2 linked regions of the Saccharomyces cerevisiae S288C genome follow. Changing the gene in region 1 together with any one later gene gives a genetic interaction. Each region holds a gene or a part of one and is shown on either strand. Other genes may lie near its edges.

The links. A genetic interaction does not mean that the proteins touch.
Region 2: mutations in RIF1 (region 1) and XRS2 together harm fitness more than expected from each alone (negative genetic interaction), as found in Saccharomyces cerevisiae (3 studies listed by BioGRID).

What each region holds. Positions count from the first base shown.
Region 1 is NC_001134.8:751,107-758,617, reverse strand, and holds RIF1 (DNA-binding protein RIF1), read left to right. Parts: upstream 1-1,511; coding exon 1,512-7,262; downstream 7,263-7,511. Other genes in the region: tyrosine/serine/threonine protein phosphatase PPS1, read left to right, coding at 1-998; serine/threonine protein kinase CHK1, read right to left, coding at 7,441-7,511. UniProt on the Saccharomyces cerevisiae protein: Negatively regulates telomere length by preventing telomere elongation or promoting degradation of the telomere ends. Recruited to telomeres by interaction with the C-terminus of RAP1, which binds directly to telomeric repeat DNA.
Region 2 is NC_001136.10:1,214,516-1,219,877, forward strand, and holds XRS2 (Xrs2p), read right to left. Parts: upstream 3,066-5,362; coding exon 501-3,065; downstream 1-500. Other genes in the region: trifunctional aldehyde reductase/carbonyl reductase (NADPH)/glucose 1-dehydrogenase (NADP(+)) YPR1, read left to right, coding at 1-327; DXO1 (Dxo1p), read right to left, coding at 3,267-4,595; CTS2 (putative chitinase), read left to right, coding at 4,898-5,362. UniProt on the Saccharomyces cerevisiae protein: Component of the MRN complex, which plays a central role in double-strand break (DSB) repair, DNA recombination, maintenance of telomere integrity and meiosis.

The DNA of each region.
Region 1 (7,511 bases):
TGTATTGCGAAGACGGATATACAGAAACGTCATTATTATTAACAGCTTATATTATATTCCACTTTAATATTCCGTTACAAGACGCTCTTTTGAGGATCCATCCAAGACCATTTTTCCTTTTTCCATCAGACTTGCAAATTTTAGGCCATTTACAACCTGTCCTGCGGGAGTTTAGTCCGCAGAATGGAAGTAATCTAAAATTATATGCCAATGCATTGAAATTTAGGGATAAAAGCTTTCAATTACACATTTCTTCAGAGCTTTTTAGTAGCATATTTTTTATGAAGATTCCTCTTGAGTCTAATTTCGTTAATTTGAAGGGCCCACTGCCATCCCGGATTCTACGTCACTTGTATTTGGGATCCCTGGATCATGCACAAAATCCTGCCTTACTTAAGTCTCTAGGAATTACGCATATAGTTTCTGTCGGTGAAGTTGTTTCATGGACATTGAATAAGGATAAAATTGCTCATCCTGTAAGGCCACATCGTGCAATAACTATGACGAATACCAATGAAGTTGCAGGTAATACTACATGTAATAAAAGCAGAAATAGAGCTGATACTGTGGTCAGCGATAAGCAAGAAAATGGCAGCAACGTAGTAATAAGTGAAAATTCTGGATTTCAAATTTGCCAGATCGAAAATCTAGATGACAACGGCAAAGATCCGCTTTTCCACCAAATAGACAAAGTTTTGGATTTTATTAGCAATTCCGAAGCAACAGGAGGGAAAGTTCTGGTGCATTGTATGGTCGGAGTCTCCAGATCTGCAACAGTTTGTATAGCTGAATGTATGAGATATCTCCAGTGTGACCTGGCAAGTGCGTATTTGTTTGTGAGGGTACGGAGGCTTAATGTTATCATTCAACCAAACTTGTTCTTCGTATATGAGCTCTTCAAATGGTGGAAAAAGCATTATAATCGCGAAAAAGACAAAACTATGGATTGGCACATCATCTGTAGGGGTATCGCTGAGGTTAATATGAAGTACACATGAACTTTGTTATATAAGTATACGTACAACTGTATAATACGTAGGAAAATTACCAATTATAAGAAAAGTATGCAAAATTAACGCTATCAGCCAAGTATAACGAACTGCTGTAATCCTTTACAAATCGTTAAAAAAGGGCCGCAGCAAATATTTATATAGTAAGGACAGCTATCTTAGATTTACATCGTGAATATACTCTACTTTTGATAAGAAACAAGAAGTCAACAGAAGGCAGGTGATTAGTGCCATTTTGATTTTCAGTTCTTTGTGTTTTTCCTCTTATGTCATATTTACTACAATAATAGAAGTTACTATAATTGACCGACGCGTCGATTTTTTATTTATTGGCGACTCATCGTTAGCAAGAAGATCGAAAGTAATAACGCAGTCTTAGAGCGATTTGAGGCAATTCGTCGGCATCAGTACCTAAGGAGATAAAAGTGAATATATATATATATATTCGTCAACGTTATTACAGGATTGCCATTGCAAAATCGTTTTTGTGGTCAATTTGCAATGTCGAAAGATTTTTCAGATAAAAAGAAACATACGATAGATCGAATTGATCAGCATATCCTCCGTAGGTCTCAACACGATAATTATTCCAATGGAAGCTCTCCGTGGATGAAAACTAACTTGCCACCTCCATCTCCACAAGCTCATATGCATATACAAAGCGATCTATCGCCAACGCCAAAGAGGCGAAAGCTAGCGTCTTCAAGTGATTGCGAGAATAAACAATTTGATTTATCAGCTATTAACAAGAATTTATATCCAGAAGATACAGGAAGCAGGCTAATGCAAAGTCTTCCAGAGTTGTCTGCCTCTAATAGTGATAATGTATCACCGGTTACAAAAAGTGTAGCTTTTTCTGATAGGATAGAATCATCACCGATTTACCGCATACCAGGTTCCTCACCTAAACCCTCTCCATCAAGCAAACCAGGAAAATCAATTTTGAGGAATAGGTTGCCTTCAGTGAGGACTGTAAGCGACTTGAGTTACAATAAACTCCAATATACCCAACACAAATTACACAACGGTAATATTTTCACATCACCTTATAAGGAAACAAGGGTAAATCCTCGCGCCTTAGAGTATTGGGTGAGTGGTGAGATCCATGGTTTAGTTGATAATGAAAGTGTTTCGGAGTTTAAAGAAATTATTGAGGGCGGATTGGGCATCTTGCGACAAGAATCTGAAGATTACGTCGCGAGGAGGTTTGAGGTATACGCAACCTTTAATAATATTATACCCATTCTAACCACTAAAAATGTTAACGAGGTTGATCAGAAATTCAATATTCTAATTGTGAATATAGAAAGTATCATTGAAATATGCATACCGCATCTACAAATAGCACAGGACACATTATTAAGTAGTAGTGAAAAAAAAAATCCATTTGTAATCAGACTATATGTTCAAATAGTTCGATTCTTCAGTGCTATTATGTCTAATTTCAAAATCGTTAAGTGGCTAACGAAAAGGCCAGATTTGGTTAATAAGTTAAAAGTTATTTACAGGTGGACCACCGGTGCGCTAAGAAATGAAAATTCAAACAAGATAATCATAACAGCACAAGTCTCTTTCTTGAGAGACGAAAAATTTGGTACTTTTTTCTTGAGCAACGAAGAAATTAAACCTATCATTAGCACTTTCACTGAAATAATGGAAATCAATAGTCACAACCTAATATATGAAAAATTGCTACTTATAAGGGGATTTTTGAGCAAGTATCCAAAATTAATGATTGAGACGGTAACTTCTTGGTTACCAGGTGAGGTACTACCTAGGATTATTATCGGAGATGAAATTTACTCCATGAAAATTCTCATAACTTCAATAGTTGTTTTACTGGAACTACTAAAAAAATGCTTAGATTTTGTTGATGAACATGAAAGGATTTACCAGTGTATCATGCTATCTCCAGTATGCGAAACAATCCCGGAAAAATTTTTATCTAAACTACCGTTAAATTCATATGACAGCGCTAATTTAGATAAAGTGACAATTGGTCATCTTCTTACACAGCAGATAAAAAACTATATTGTGGTCAAAAATGACAATAAAATAGCAATGGATTTGTGGCTTTCAATGACCGGATTACTATACGATAGCGGAAAGAGAGTTTATGATTTGACATCAGAATCTAACAAAGTTTGGTTTGATTTAAATAACCTGTGCTTTATCAATAATCACCCCAAGACTCGCTTAATGTCCATCAAAGTTTGGAGAATTATTACCTACTGCATATGCACGAAAATATCACAGAAAAATCAGGAAGGAAACAAAAGTTTACTGTCACTTTTACGAACCCCTTTTCAAATGACGCTTCCTTATGTGAATGATCCAAGCGCTAGAGAAGGGATCATCTACCACCTTTTAGGTGTTGTTTACACTGCATTTACAAGTAATAAGAATTTGTCAACAGATATGTTTGAACTATTTTGGGACCACCTAATAACCCCGATTTATGAAGATTATGTTTTCAAATATGATTCGATTCACTTGCAAAATGTACTCTTCACAGTTTTGCATTTGTTAATTGGGGGAAAGAATGCAGATGTTGCATTGGAAAGAAAATATAAAAAGCATATTCACCCAATGAGTGTTATAGCCTCAGAAGGTGTAAAGTTAAAAGACATTTCAAGCCTGCCCCCGCAGATCATCAAGCGTGAATACGATAAAATCATGAAAGTTGTGTTCCAGGCTGTTGAAGTAGCCATTTCTAACGTTAATTTGGCTCATGATCTGATCCTTACATCTTTGAAGCATCTTCCAGAGGATAGAAAGGACCAAACTCATTTAGAATCCTTTAGCAGTCTTATATTAAAAGTCACGCAAAACAACAAAGATACACCCATTTTTCGTGACTTTTTTGGTGCTGTTACTTCATCGTTTGTTTATACATTTTTGGACCTGTTTTTAAGAAAGAATGATTCATCATTAGTAAATTTCAATATCCAAATTTCCAAAGTTGGTATTTCGCAAGGAAACATGACCCTTGATCTTTTAAAAGATGTTATCAGGAAAGCTCGAAACGAAACATCTGAATTTCTGATAATAGAAAAGTTTCTAGAATTGGATGATAAGAAAACAGAAGTATATGCCCAAAATTGGGTTGGATCAACGTTATTACCACCAAATATATCTTTCAGAGAATTTCAGAGTTTGGCGAATATTGTGAACAAAGTTCCGAATGAAAATTCCATTGAAAATTTCTTGGACCTATGTTTGAAGCTCAGCTTTCCAGTTAATTTGTTTACACTACTTCATGTGTCTATGTGGTCGAACAATAATTTTATTTATTTCATTCAAAGCTATGTTTCAAAAAATGAAAACAAATTAAACGTGGATCTGATCACGCTGTTAAAAACTTCTTTACCAGGGAATCCTGAACTGTTTTCCGGTCTGCTCCCATTTTTAAGGCGTAACAAATTTATGGATATTTTGGAGTACTGTATTCATTCCAATCCAAATTTACTAAATTCCATCCCTGATCTAAATTCAGATCTCCTATTGAAGCTGTTACCACGTAGCAGAGCTTCATATTTTGCAGCAAACATAAAACTATTCAAGTGCTCCGAACAGCTTACATTAGTTCGTTGGCTGTTGAAGGGTCAACAACTTGAACAGCTAAATCAAAATTTTTCAGAAATCGAGAACGTTTTACAAAATGCGTCTGATAGCGAGTTAGAAAAATCAGAAATAATCAGAGAACTCCTTCATCTGGCGATGGCAAATCCCATTGAACCATTATTCAGTGGCCTATTGAATTTTTGCATAAAGAATAATATGGCGGATCATTTGGATGAATTTTGCGGAAATATGACCAGCGAAGTTCTTTTCAAAATAAGTCCAGAGCTACTGTTAAAATTACTGACGTATAAGGAGAAGCCTAATGGGAAGTTACTGGCAGCAGTTATTGAAAAAATTGAAAATGGAGATGATGATTATATATTGGAGTTGCTTGAAAAGATTATTATACAAAAAGAGATCCAAATTTTGGAAAAATTAAAGGAGCCACTTTTAGTTTTCTTCTTAAATCCAGTTAGCTCTAATATGCAAAAACACAAAAAGAGTACAAATATGCTCCGTGAATTAGTCTTATTATATCTCACTAAACCGCTTTCTAGAAGTGCCGCCAAAAAATTTTTTTCCATGTTAATTAGTATATTACCGCCAAACCCTAACTATCAAACTATTGATATGGTTAATCTGTTGATTGACCTCATCAAATCACATAATCGTAAGTTTAAAGATAAGAGAACCTATAATGCAACATTAAAGACAATAGGAAAGTGGATACAGGAATCGGGCGTGGTTCATCAAGGGGACTCAAGTAAGGAAATTGAAGCTATACCTGACACTAAGTCGATGTATATTCCATGCGAAGGGAGTGAAAATAAACTTTCAAACTTACAGAGAAAAGTGGATTCTCAAGATATCCAGGTTCCGGCTACGCAGGGAATGAAAGAGCCTCCCTCCTCAATTCAAATATCTTCCCAGATTAGTGCGAAAGATTCAGATTCAATATCGCTTAAAAATACTGCAATAATGAATTCTTCACAGCAAGAATCACATGCTAACCGAAGCAGATCAATTGATGATGAAACACTAGAGGAAGTGGATAATGAAAGCATTAGAGAAATAGATCAGCAGATGAAGAGTACGCAGTTAGATAAAAACGTGGCCAATCATAGCAACATTTGTTCTACTAAAAGCGATGAGGTGGATGTTACTGAGCTGCATGAAAGTATTGATACACAATCCTCGGAAGTGAACGCATACCAACCGATAGAAGTTCTCACTAGCGAACTGAAGGCGGTAACAAATAGATCTATCAAAACGAATCCTGATCATAACGTTGTTAACAGTGATAATCCTCTAAAACGACCTTCCAAAGAGACGCCTACCTCTGAAAATAAAAGATCGAAAGGTCATGAAACGATGGTGGACGTTTTAGTTTCTGAGGAACAAGCGGTGTCGCCTAGCAGTGACGTTATATGTACTAACATCAAGAGTATAGCCAACGAAGAATCTTCGTTAGCTTTAAGGAATAGCATAAAAGTGGAAACAAACTGTAATGAAAATTCCTTGAATGTCACTTTAGATCTTGACCAGCAAACCATAACAAAGGAAGATGGAAAAGGGCAAGTTGAACATGTTCAAAGACAGGAGAACCAGGAAAGTATGAATAAAATCAACAGTAAAAGTTTTACGCAAGACAATATTGCACAGTACAAGAGCGTGAAGAAAGCCCGTCCTAATAATGAGGGTGAAAACAACGATTATGCTTGTAATGTTGAACAAGCCTCTCCAGTAAGGAATGAGGTGCCAGGAGACGGCATTCAGATCCCGAGTGGGACTATACTTCTCAATAGTTCAAAGCAGACAGAAAAATCAAAAGTTGATGACTTGCGTAGTGATGAAGATGAACATGGAACGGTTGCGCAAGAGAAACATCAAGTGGGTGCAATAAACAGTAGAAACAAAAATAATGACAGGATGGACAGCACACCCATTCAAGGCACTGAAGAAGAATCTAGGGAAGTTGTTATGACCGAAGAAGGTATCAATGTACGCTTAGAAGATAGTGGAACATGCGAACTTAATAAAAATTTGAAGGGACCGCTTAAAGGAGATAAGGATGCCAATATTAATGACGATTTTGTACCTGTTGAAGAAAATGTCAGAGATGAGGGCTTTTTAAAATCAATGGAACATGCGGTATCTAAAGAGACAGGTCTAGAAGAACAACCCGAAGTTGCTGATATTTCAGTGTTACCAGAAATTCGTATACCCATTTTCAATTCTTTGAAAATGCAAGGGTCAAAGAGCCAAATAAAAGAGAAATTGAAAAAGAGATTGCAAAGGAATGAGTTAATGCCACCAGATTCACCTCCTCGAATGACAGAAAATACAAATATCAACGCGCAGAATGGCTTAGACACCGTACCAAAAACAATTGGTGGAAAAGAAAAACACCATGAAATTCAATTAGGCCAAGCCCACACAGAAGCAGATGGCGAACCTTTGTTGGGGGGAGATGGTAACGAAGATGCTACATCTAGGGAAGCCACACCTTCATTAAAAGTGCACTTTTTTTCAAAAAAGTCGAGAAGGTTAGTGGCCAGATTGAGAGGGTTCACACCGGGCGACTTGAACGGAATATCTGTGGAAGAAAGAAGAAACTTGAGAATTGAATTATTAGATTTTATGATGAGGCTCGAATATTACTCAAACAGGGATAATGATATGAATTGATTGTTAGTATGTAGAATAGATCAAAATGGCAATAAATTAATTACAATAATAAAATCTCTCGAAACAATATATAGTTACGATGACACACTAGAAATCGAGAGAGATATATAATAAGTAGAAAGAATTTTTTTTTTTTTTTGATCAGTGCATCTTAACCCTTCTTTTGTCTCCATTTTTTTCAGTTGGGAATTAGGATAATATCCCTACAGATAGTTGAAATTTTCTTGAACAATCTTCTCCATTCTAAAG
Region 2 (5,362 bases), on another chromosome or scaffold:
TTGATTGCCTTTTGTAAGGAAAAGGGTATTGTTGTTGAAGCCTACTCACCATTTGGGAGTGCTAATGCTCCTTTACTAAAAGAGCAAGCAATTATTGATATGGCTAAAAAGCACGGCGTTGAGCCAGCACAGCTTATTATCAGTTGGAGTATTCAAAGAGGCTACGTTGTTCTGGCCAAATCGGTTAATCCTGAAAGAATTGTATCCAATTTTAAGATTTTCACTCTGCCTGAGGATGATTTCAAGACTATTAGTAACCTATCCAAAGTGCATGGTACAAAGAGAGTCGTTGATATGAAGTGGGGATCCTTCCCAATTTTCCAATGAGCGCGCTACATTACAGTTAATGCCTCCAGCAACCTGTAGTGCTTCTTTAAACCGATCCGATACAGCTGAAACAAACATTGATTTTACTAATTTTCATATAATATATACACATATATCGAATGATAATGCAAAATATAATTTAATGAAATTGGAAATACTCGGAAAATTTATCATTATCCTTTTCTTCTTTTGAACGTAAACTTCGGACCGTCGTCATCGTCGTCGTCGCCATCACCGTTATTAGAAGCCCCAAAAGAGCCACGTGATCTACTAGTTGCGCTTCTACTGTGTCTACTTTGCTTGGAACATTCTTCTGACAAGTTTGGCCGTAAGTTCATTTCCTTCACCACAAAAAGATTACGATTATTTTCTCTGTGATTTAGTCTATCGCTTTTATCATCAATATCACCCAGATCATCTTCATCAGTAATAAAAATTTTGTTTTTTAGTGGTTGAACGCTGGCTGCAGTACCTGAACAACGAGAAAAAGAAAACGAATCTTCTTCTCCTTCATTTGAACTATCCTCATTCGTGAATCTGTTTAGAGCTTGAGATCTTTTCTGGATAGTGTTTGAGTTTATATTATCGGACATAAATGTATTCGATCCAAATCTTTCCATCTCCGTCAAAGCAAACATATCTTCGTTTTCTTCTGTGCCCCATTTTGTAGTTGTATCCTTTTTGGAGTATTTTTTTAACGGAACATAATTTCTAGTGATTAAAAAGGCTGCATTTCGTATAAAATCTGAGCTTTGAGTGTTATTTTTACCCTCTTCTTTGTGCGCCTTTGATTTTGGACGTACCTTGACAAAAGTCTTGAAATTCTTGCGTTTATGCCATTCTGGCTCCATTAGGCTATTTTCCCATTTTTCAGTTGTTCTGCTTGTTTTGTTTCCCTCACTATCAAATGATTTCCTCAGTAAATTGTTACTAGGTTCTACAATAGCCAAATTTTTTAGCTGATTAATAGCTTCCTCGCTCAACTCCTCATCCTTCAATTCAACAATGGTTGACTTAACTCTTTTGACCTCTCTATTTTTAGTTTCTTGAATAGCTTCAACAAATGCGTGCGGCGTACCAGATTTCTCTTTAATAGATAACTCTTTTACAGGTGACTTACAATTTTCTTGTAATGGAGATGAAATTTCTCGTGAATAATTAGAAAGTTTACGGATGTTTTTAGAGGGTTGCTCTATATTCTGGTGATGATTCACCCTAAAATTCTTAGTAACTTCAGCATCATCCATCGAATTCACAGCAGCTGTTTCATAGTCAGCGGAGTTCGAAGATATGGTTTGAGAGCCAATCCCTGCTACCTCCGGCAATGACGGCTGTGGTAACTTATGTGACTGTAGCGACTTATCCAACGAATCCTCACTCGTGTTCACAGTACCTAAGTTGGGGCTACTGACAATTATAGCACCAGGGCTACTGTGACCACTTTTCTTTCCAATATCTTCAGTCGGCTTTAGTGCGTTTTGAAGAAATGGGGCGTGCTTTTCATCTGCCTCTGCAATGTTGGGACTTGAAATGACAGTCTTTGATTCTGCGCCACAATTAAGTCTCTTAGCGTCAGTTAAAGACCTATTTTCTGATAGAGTCTTAGTACTCAAACCTCCAGCAAAAAAATCAAGACTATCGAGTGGTAGTACTCTACGTCTATTTAATTTTCGCTTCTTCGAGACTACTGGACTAGCTTCAACTTCAGGTGCACGAGATGTTTTCAAAATAGTAGACATTCCTTCAGAAATTTGATCAAATTTACCGTTATCTAGAGTTCTTGAAGATGCACCCTTCATATTAATCACTGCGCTTAAGGTGCCATCTATTATTGATGTTAACATCGTTTTGATAGTACATAGAATTTTCCCATTTTCTTTCTTATCTGTAGTTGTCAAAATCAGGTATTCTGTTGATGCTTCCAAGCTGTCAACATATTTATATAAACTATCAATGTTGTCAAATGCAAATAAATTTATATTGAACGTCCGCAGGAGAGATGATAGACGTGGTTCACTTTTGATAGTAGTTAACACTCTGATATTATTCAGCCTCATAAACTTCGAAAGCAAAATATTTGGATCAAAATCAAAAACATTGTACTCCGGATTACTAATCATATCGTTCCACATTTCATCAAATTTTAAATTAGTTTTAGATGTGGGAAGAAGAGTATTACACAATTCCATCAGAAACCGTGATTTTTTCATGGGTATAGTACTAACAAGGGCATACAATTCCCGTATGCTGTTGTCCTCGCTCTTTGGGTAATCGCTAATCATCAGATTAGCGGGAATATCATTAATAGAAATCTCAGTGGAGATACCATATTCAGAAAGCATCGTCCTGAATTGTGTCAAATGAGGAGGAATGTTCCAGACTTCATTTATCCATTCGAACTCTATACGAATAGGAGTTGTACCCAGTTCAATTATTGTGGACTTTAAAACGTCCGAGGCATTAATAGTAAATGTTTCGCCAACTTTCATGAATTTTTTATTTAATGATGTCAATTTACCCTTGTTAACTAAACACAGGCTACTGTGTTTCAGATCCGAACTATTATTGATTTCCCATTTGAATGTGATATGCTGTCTGGAAATACTTTTATCATTTTTAATTATCAGTGGGTTTTTACTTGATCTACCTATACTATAAGTTTTGAAGGCCTGAAGACAACATGATATAAAGCTAATAGAGCCATCTTCCAATGTATTCTGGTATCGTACTACCCACATAAATTTATAGTTATCACCTTCTCAGTATTGTTGCTCATCTATTACAAAATTCTGCTTATTTGGTTTACGCATTGCTTTTCATAGAAAAAAAGGGCTCCCCATATAAATTTAAGAAAAGTACTAATATTTAGCGTAGTTAACAACTTTACGAAAATGAAAATGAAATATTTCTCGGAAAAGTATTATATATTATACACGTCTCTACATTCCAAATAATTCTACGTTTCTTGGAGTAGTCTTAAGTTTAGTGATGACGATGGCGTTGTTAGTATCTATACCGATTTCAAATGATTCTGGTTTTGTACTGCTATAGTCAGAGATATTTGCCTCCACCAGCTTACAAATTGCTTCAATACAATAATGACACCATTCTACCGCAATTTGGGCATTATAGTTAAGTTCCTTTTTATTTGTAGGTAGACCTGGGTGATTGAATTTCTTACATAATAAGTCCCTTGAGTACCATTGAATGTCTAGTAATTGACCGCTATGACTGTCCCTCAAACCTATCATGATATCTGAGTTCGGTAATAAACCCGTCTGTACCCACGTTTTCAGAAGTTTTCTCCTATGATTGGAATTGTGCATTGATAATGGGGCAAAACACTTTAGTTCTGTGTTTGTCTCCGAAACAGGATTGAATGCATCCATTTCGCAGCGAATTAAAAGACCAATTTCTTCTGAAAGTTTACTCTCTACAAGAGAAAAAATAGGACATTTAGAGCCAGTTAAATCAGCGACTTTGGAATTTTCGGTTACCCAATTTTCAAATTCAAATCCTGAATAGCAAATTTTCTTCATATTTGGATCATTTGAATAAATGCCCTCTTTGGACATTTGAGAATCTTTTTTTACATTTCTGCAAAATGAAAGAAGGCCCGCCCCCATATAAGTTACAATTAGTGACGTTTGTCTATTTCGCCTGTTAAAGAGATGCATAGTCAAATCTACGATATGATGTCTTGTGGTTACAACAGTAAATTTCTTGCCGATCTTAAAATCCTTACCAGGATTATCTAGTATCCAGTTCTCAATGTATGAAAAACACGGTGATACACTATCTAATTCGGATATTGTCATGGGAACGAACTCATCAATATTAGCAAATAAGTCATGGCCTAAATACGGGACTTTCCGCTTTTTTGCCTCAAGAAGCGAGCTTTCATACAATTCAGCAATACTTTCTTTCAAATTTGGTATAAGGTCTTTGCGTAGGATTGTATAAGCCCGGCCATTGGTAAACAGAGCTACTTCTTTACTTTCATGAAATATATCTCTTGGTGGTTTCGTCAAAAAATTGTGCATACCAGTATGCAGAAAAGACGTATATGGGATACATATAAGTTTCGGACGTCTCTTTCTATAATTGTCTCTCTGTTGTGAAGGCTTCCTTGACGAAGATGAATCAGAAGTAGTTTTCTCTTTGCATAATTTACTTTGGTGTCCTCTCTCGAGATTGGGCACAGTAAGCAAATTTATACCTTCTAAATCTTTGGCCAATCCAAGAACAGCATCTTGTTCAGTTGACATAACTGAGTTTGGCTAGAAAGAAAACTTTGACATAAAATCATCGATACCTACAACTGGCGCTGTAATGCAACAATGCCATTATAAAAGTAAAACATGCTGCGAAAATTGCGGAAAAACTGGAAAAATCAATAGTGGGGTAATCCCAGTTAGTTTGACACAATAATTTGGTGATTTTGGTGGAATAATCATTATTTGTGAGGATACACCAACGAAAAGAACCTTTTGTGGTAGTATGGTCCAACAATTGTATTTGCAGGTTGGTACTAACAACCTCTATAAGTAGACGATACAAGAGTGATCATATGGTAGGACACTCAGCTCAGCACAGATCAAAAAGCAGCTTAGTGTCTCACCTACTAATACTACTTATCTTTATAACGATTATTATTGAAATGTGTTTATATAATAAAATTTTTAAGAACCAAAGGTCGGATGATATTAGAGACAACTTTAACAATGGCGGACATCGAGTTCCCAGTAATGTCCAAAATCATGGAACCCATATAAGAGACGAAGCCTTTATATCAGGGGTCTATTATTCCAATTGGTCCCCATACAAACCGAGGTTTCATTTCCCTCACGACATAAACTTGAAGCAAGTGTCTCACATTTACTATGCATTTTTCAAAATAAACTCTAGAACTGGTGGTATAGAAAACACGGATAGTTGGTCTGATCTAGAAATGAATTTGTATAAATCGCTGGCAATTAAAAATTCAGAACTAATTAAAGAAAGCTCGAACAATAGTGTCCAAAACATCCTACCC